Linked DNA regions of Rattus norvegicus. The protein of the gene in region 1 interacts with the protein of each later gene in a biochemical or structural test. Links are inferred from orthologs where the notes say so. Each region holds a gene or a part of one and is shown on either strand. Other genes may lie near its edges.

Evidence for each region. The genes of interacting proteins can lie anywhere in the genome.
Region 2: the proteins of Nfya (region 1) and Zhx1 form a complex in vitro, tested with the Homo sapiens proteins (2 studies listed by BioGRID). The link is inferred for Rattus norvegicus from reciprocal best matches to the Homo sapiens genes NFYA and ZHX1.

The regions. Positions count from the first base shown.
Region 1 is NC_086027.1:20,102,081-20,105,729, forward strand, and holds part of Nfya (nuclear transcription factor Y subunit alpha), read left to right. Parts: intron 1-90; coding exon 91-257; intron 258-533; coding exon 534-707; intron 708-1,177; coding exon 1,178-1,279; intron 1,280-3,649. UniProt on the Homo sapiens protein: Component of the sequence-specific heterotrimeric transcription factor (NF-Y) which specifically recognizes a 5'-CCAAT-3' box motif found in the promoters of its target genes.
Region 2 is NC_086025.1:91,497,809-91,501,557, forward strand, and holds the start of Zhx1 (zinc fingers and homeoboxes protein 1), read right to left. Parts: upstream 2,661-3,749; 5' UTR 2,607-2,660; intron 1-2,606. UniProt on the Homo sapiens protein: Acts as a transcriptional repressor. Increases DNMT3B-mediated repressive transcriptional activity when DNMT3B is tethered to DNA. May link molecule between DNMT3B and other co-repressor proteins.

The DNA of each region.
Region 1 (3,649 bases):
GACTAACCGTTTTCCCTTCTTTCTGTTCCGTGTACCTGTTCTTTGTTTTTTGTTTTGTTTGTTTTTGTTTTATGTTTTGTTTTCTTAAAGTTACAGTCCCTGTTTCAGGCATGATCACCATCCCAGCAGCCAGTTTGGCAGGGGCACAGATCGTTCAGACAGGAGCCAATACCAACACAACCAGTAGTGGACAAGGGACTGTCACTGTGACACTGCCAGTGGCAGGGAATGTGGTCAACTCAGGAGGAATGGTCATGGTAAGGAGTGTCCCCACACTGGAGGTTTGGGTGGGCCCCTCCTGTCTGAGCTGGTGTTGTCTCTTGTGAAGTTTCCTATGCTAACTTTGGGGTTGAAGCTAGCTCCATCCTTATGGCACTAGCAGTGTCTACGTCCACAGGAAGCATAATTCATTCCGATGCCTTCCAGGTACCAGACTAGTCTAGACTCTGGAAAGACAGCAGGATGGGTACGAATGGGCAATTTCATTTAAACTTTTCATGCCGGTAGTAAGGTCTGCTCTCTTGTCCATGCAGATGGTACCAGGGGCTGGCTCTGTGCCTGCTATCCAAAGAATCCCTTTACCTGGGGCAGAGATGCTGGAAGAAGAGCCCCTGTACGTGAACGCCAAACAGTATCACCGCATCCTTAAGAGGAGACAAGCGAGGGCCAAGCTAGAGGCAGAAGGGAAGATCCCAAAGGAAAGAAGGGTGCGTATGGCATGGGGAGTGCTAGGCAGGACGCTGCACAGTTGTGCATCAAGGTTCACTGTAGGACCAGTGACAAAGCAAGGGGCTTTTCCCTTTCTATAGCAAAGAAGTCCAGAGAAAGCTTATCCTCAGGACTTCCTCTTGTCTTAGAGCTTCAGTGCTCATGTGTTGGCTGTGGTTCGAAGTGGCAGTTGGTCTGCAGCCAAGGGAATAAGAAGGTGGCCTTCTCATTTTAAAGGATTTGCCTGCATCCGATGACCCAATCTAACATACCTATAGATTGCATAAAAATGGGGTCTCCTCCTATTCTGCCATTTGTGCGACCAAACCTGAGTCAGTCACTGAAGCCTATCATTCCGTTTTCCTCGTTCCCTGGACTCGGGTTGCACTGTGAGGATCCTTTAACTGTAGACTCTGCGGTAGGTTACTGCCAGCTCGCTAACAGTTGAGAATCTTATGCTCTTCCCTAGAAATACCTCCATGAGTCTCGGCACCGACACGCCATGGCACGGAAGCGTGGGGAAGGGGGCCGCTTCTTCTCTCCAAAAGAAAAGGACAGTCCTCACATGCAGGTAAGGAGATTGAATACTTCCTTTCTCTGGTGCCTACCTTCTCTCTCAGCAAAGACTGCCCGCCCTCCCCTTGAGGAAGAAACATACTCTCTATGCATGCGGTCTCTGGTGCTTGGCTTCCTTTCTTTTTAGGAACACTGAAAGTTTCAACCCAGGCTACTTTTACTCTTGGTTTCTCAGGTCTTTGTTTTTTAAGGAAAAGTTTTACTTTTGTTTATTTATTTATTAGTAGTCGGAAACAGTGTTGTGTGTCAGTTCTTGTGTCAAGCATTGTAGTAAACTTTTATTTGTTGTTGTTCAACCAACTGCAACCTCAGGCCCATGGAATAGAAGGACATCACCATTTTTTACAGTTGAATATGAGTTCTTGAGACCTTAAGTAACTTGCACAGCTGAATCAGCCCCGGAAGTGCAGTCCAGTCATCCCACTTACTCTGGAAGCTGAGGCCATGCCTAGGCTAGAGATGAATTCAAGACGAGCTAATTTAGTGGGACTTGTTCTCATAAAGGACTAGTGGTGTAGCTAGCTCACTAGTGTAGAGTATTTAACTGACATATGAGTTCATGGGTTCGAATCCTGCTTCCTCCACAAACAGACCCATCAACTGAATTCAGACCCAGGCAGTAGAACCTCACTGGCTATCTCTTATGGTTCTGAGTCTGTGTATCCGAACTGGAGTGCTTGTTCATTAGACTGTACCTAACAAGTGACTTGTCACCACCCAGTCATTGCAGTTTACATGGTTCAAATTCTGAAGTTCTTTTAGTTTTGCCTCTTGAAACATGATTTGAATCTGTTTATTGTACCCTCCTAGCTGATGGCAGCCTGGCCTAGTCCTCTTTCTCTGGTTTAGATGAATAGATCTACCCACTCTCGTGCACTCTTGCCCTCGCTTTATGTTTCCCACATCTCAGGGTGGTATTCGTGGTATCACACCAGTCTTAGCCTGCCTTTGCTCTCTCACTCCTCGTATATAAGTCAACCATGGGCCGGTAAGCGCATGTCCGCATCTAAATTCGCTTTCTCGCCGTGTGTCTGTTTATCCTGCCAGGTCCTTTGTCGTTACAGTTTCTAGTCTATCATGTTCTTGTCTCCATCATTTCCGTGACTATCTCTTCTTCTCTCTTACTAGCCTAGGCTGTCCTCAAATTTGTAGTCCTCCTGCTCCAGTTTCCCACGTGGTGGGGTTCCAGGACCAGACCTCCACAGACTATTCTGTCCTCCTTACTTTTAGGCCTGGCTTAGATCTGAAAGGTTTTAGCCTGCTCTCATCTGTAGTAGAATTCTTCTTTTTTTTTTTTTTTTTTTTTTTTTTTTTTAATCTATTAACTTGAGTATTTCTTATTGACATTTCGATTGTTATTCCCCTTCCCAGTTTCCGGGCCAACATCCCCCTAGCCCTTCCCCCACCCCTCCTATATGGGCTTCCCCTTCCCATCCTCCCCCCATTACCACCCTCCCCCCAACAATTTTCACTGGGGGTTCAGTCTTGGCAGGACCAAGGGCTTCCCCTTCCACTGGTGCTCTTACTAGGCTATTCATTGCTATCTATGAGGTTGGAGCCCACGGTCAGTCCATGTATAGTCTTTGGGTAGTGGCTTCGTCCCTGGAAGCTCTGGTTGGTTGGCATTGTTGTTCATATGGGGTCTCGAGCCCCTTCAAGCTCTTCCAGTCCTTTCTCTGATTACTTCAATGGGGGTCCCGTTCTCAGTTCAGTGGTTTGCTGCTGGCATTCGCCTCTGTATTTGCTGTATTCTGGCTGTGTCTCTCAGGAGAGATCTACATCCGGCTCCTGTCAGTCTGCACTTCTTTGCTTCATCCATCTTGTCTAATTGGGTGGCTGTATATGTATGGGCCACATGTGGGGCAGGCTCTGAATGGGTGTTCCTTCTGCCTCTGTTCTAAACTTTGCCTCCCTATTCCCTGCCAAGGGTATTCTTGTTCTCCTTTTAAAGAAGGAGTGAAGCATCCTCATTTTGGTCATTCTTCTTGAGTTTCATGTGTTCTGTTCTGTGCATCTAGGGTAATTCAAGCATTTGGGCTAATATCCACTTATCAATGAGTGCATACCATGTATGTTTTTCTGTGATTGGGTTACCTCACTCAGGATGATATTTTCCAGTTCCATCCATTTGCCTATGAATTTCATAAAGTCATTGTTTTTGATAGCTGAGTAATATTTCATTGTGTAGATGTACCACATTTTCTGTATCCATTCCTCTGTTGAAGGGCATCTGGGTTCTTTCCAGCTTCTGGCTATTATAAATAAGGCTGCTATGAACATAGTGGGGCATGTGTCATTGTTATATGTTGGGTCATCTTTTGGGTATATGCCCAAGAGAGGTATAGTTGGGTCCTCAGGTAGTTCA
Region 2 (3,749 bases), on another chromosome or scaffold:
TCCATCCAAATCAAACATTGAGTATCCATCCTAAAGGACGAGTTCATAAAATTATGATCTGATTTTGAAAAGTGAAATTCATAAATAAACATTTTTCTCCCTAAAAAGAAAAAAAAATGAAAGGTGAAACCATGGTGACATCTTTCATGTCCTACACTCAAGCCTAGCAAGCTTGGCTTGCAGGAGATGAAGCTACCGATGAGCATCCTCCACACAGACACATTTATGTTTTCAGCCTTAGCATATTTTCAAAGCATCTGGCATCTATGGATGCCTCTCTGGTGTGCCAGACTAATGTGTTCAGATCTGAGTATAACACTAGAGCTGTATGCACTGTGGGGAAAGCAAGGAACAGCACATATTCAAAGAAGTCTTCCAAATGCTGAGCCACAAGCTTGTTATACTCGACCTGTATCTTTAAAACATTTCTACCAAAAACATTAAGCTCTTTTGAGAATATAAGAATGGCTCAGACCATATGTTACTGAAGTCATTAGGGTTCTTTCTTGTTTTTTCTCTCTCTCTCTCTCTCTCATTTTAATCTAAGCTGTCAAATAAAATATATCAAGAGATAGTTCTACAAAAAAAATTCATTGATAAAATACTGTAAATTCTATATTTTAAAAAATGCCTAAGGGCCAGTAAGGTGACTTGGTCGGTAAAAGCATTTACCACCAAGCCTGACAACCTGAGTCTGATATCCAGAACCTACATAGTGGGTGGAGAAGCAACTCCTGAAAGTTATCCTCTAACTTCCACATGCATACAGTAGGATGTGCACATAACTGCATATAAACACAAATAAATAATAAATGTAAAAAAATTAGTATCTAAGATTGAGATGGTGGTACATGCTTGTAAGCCCAGCACTGACAAGGAAGAGGCAAGAGGATTGCCATGACTTCAAGGACAGCCTAGACTATGTTTTGAAATGCCAATTCAAAACAAAATCTAAGATTATGCATTTTACTTTGCTAAATTTACTAATTTACAAAATTAGTCTGTATACTTTTAAAATGCTTGGAGGATGGAGAAACTAAGTAAAGAAAATATTCATGACTGTCCTTTTCTTCATATGCCTTGTTACCAAACTACCGTCCTTGACAGCACTCAGCTTTTCCTTCACTTAGAATCTGGAATCAGAATTGCTTCTTTAGAAATAATCTAGTGCCAGTAGCCTTGTTAGGACAAACTTTTACTAATCCCCATTACCAGTATGAAATAATGACCTTTTCAGGGCAGTTTAAAAAGAAACAGGTAATTACCACTGCATACAAATTAAAGTGTTAGGACAAAGACTTCTGAAATACAATGACCAGCAGCACCACAAAGAAAAAGGTGTACTCGTGTACCCCGCAACACAGGCTTTTCCTGGGGGAGGAGTGGTTCCTCCGGATTTTCATTTGGCATCATATTAACCTCAAAGAGAACTGCTTCTTCGAGTTACATGGAATCCCACCCTAAATACGTCACAAATTCTCAATCGGCCTCTCTTATAATTTCCTCCTAAATATTATCTCTTCTCGGTTTGTTTTGGTTTTGTCTTTTAGAGAAGGGTTGATGACAAAAAAGTACTGTAAGCAATTCCTACCTTATCTACGCTTCTTCTCCACATTCAGTTTCCAATTGCTTTTCCCAGAACCTTAATCCCTAAGCTAAGGAGAGCAAACAGAATCTTATTCTTCGGTTTGGTTTGTTTCTTACTGGTACCTTTGGAGCACCGAAACAAAGAATTCTAAGTCCCTCTCTTGGAACTTCAGTGTAAATACACAAGGAAAGCGCTTCTGTCAGGGCTCGGCTTCCCTGCCATCAGACCCCAGTCCTTTTTATTTCCTCTTCCTAGCCAATTCCCTTGAAGCCCCAAGGCTTGGAGATTGCTCTGGTCCATCGCTCTCCCAAGTCTCTGCACTCACGCTCCTGTACCTCTGCAGAAAGAGACAAGTGTGTTTCCACCTTCTTTAATTAACTTCTCCCCTAAAATCCTGGTCTTCCTCAAAATATACTTCGCATTATACTTCTTAGAGATGCAACTCTGAGTCTTCCCTGTTGATGTTCCCATTGCTTTGACCCCAAAGCCAGCGACTACAGTCCAGCAGGAGATCCTTTGCTGACTCTTCAGAGGGGCTGCGCCGCGTCCCCACGAGGTGGCCCCACGCCTCCGGAGGCCCAACGCTGGAGATCTCCCCCAGGACCCGCCCGGTAGTTAAGGTCTGCTGGCCCAGAGACGTCCTCCCCTCAGGGAGACCCCATCCCCTCAACACCCCCAAGTTACTCAGTGCTCTCCCAACCAAGGCACTGGGGCTTTCCCTCCAAGCCCCCCCGCCCAGAGCTCCGTCCTCGCTTTCACACCCTCGAGAGAACCCGGGAGCTGAGACTCTGTCCGCCCCGCCGCGGGGCAGGCCCGGTCCCTCGGGGTCGGATGCTGCGTGCCCCAGCGCCGTGGGCTGGGTCAGGGGGTGGGGGTGTCTCTGCCCCGCTGCTGCCCGTCCCGTGCCGCGCCAGGGCCCGCGCCTCTAGACTTCCCCACTCGCCACGAGCTCTAGCTCGGGTTCCACCCGCAGCCCCGCAACCGCGAGGCCCAATACCCAGCCGGCTCGCGCAGCTACCTGCAGGGGCCGCCTCGCCTCAGCGCCTCGCCGCCGCCATCTTGCATTTCAGAGCGACTGCACTTTTCAGGGAGTCAACTCTGACCTGTGAACCCTAACCCCGGAACCACTCGGAGGGCCCTCGCGCGGGGGGCCCACGGAGCTCTGCAGCCCGGCAGGAGCTCCAAGACGCCAGGCTAGGGTGCGAGAGAGACTCCCGGTCCCTAAGCCTACAAGGGCTGCGAGGAGGAGCCAACCGAGGCGGAGCGAGATGGGCGCCCCACTCGAGGACTTCGCCGCTCCTCTGGGATGCGACCCAGGCCGCTCCTCTAGAACCCTGCGCTGCGGGAGGTGTGCGCCGCCCCGCCCTCTGTCAGGAAGAGTCACGCCCCCTGTCAGGAGGGAGCCACGCCTCTGTCACGAGAAGCCACGCCCTATCATGAGAGGCTCCTCCTTCCGGCCTTGCGAGGCTCCACCTCCCTCAGGCGATTGCTCGGCCAGCGGTCGTCAGAAGTTGGACTCCGCCTCCCGCGACCGAGGTCGCTGTCTCCCGTGGAAACTGCCTTGGTCTTCCGCCACCCCTTCTGTCTTGGAGCCCGACTCCTAAGGTCCCGCCCCTCCCTAAGCCACTCCCACTGTCACTCTCAGCTCCTCCTTGGGAGCGCCCTCTGGATTCCAGCCGCGCCCCCACCCGCTGTCAACAGTCCCGCGCTCCTGTCAGCTGCAACTCCGCCTCTTCTAGCCCGAGTCCAGCGGGACCCGTAGTTACAGCTTTGGACGGGAAAAGTTGAGTGTGGCCCCACTTGGAGCCTTCCGCCTCTGCCTGCTGCCGCAGTCCCTCTTCCCACTGCGAGCCACACTGACTGAAACTGAGCTCTCAGTGGGCACCAGCCCCTTCGCGGCCATCTGAGGATCTCATCATCTTCCCTACCTGTCTTTCCGCCCTCTCATCATTGTTACAATGAATATACACACGAAGGCAAAAGGAAGCCACTCATAGTGTTCTGTGTATTCACGGCTCCGGACGTAAGAGAATTCTTTGGCGCCTGGATGTTTAGTCCCCACCCCCATCCCAGTCACGGACCCTTTGTGTTTGTGACAGAGCTCCACCAAGCCACACCAGTCCGAAAATCTGCACTCTACATTTGCTTGAAGGGAAGACTT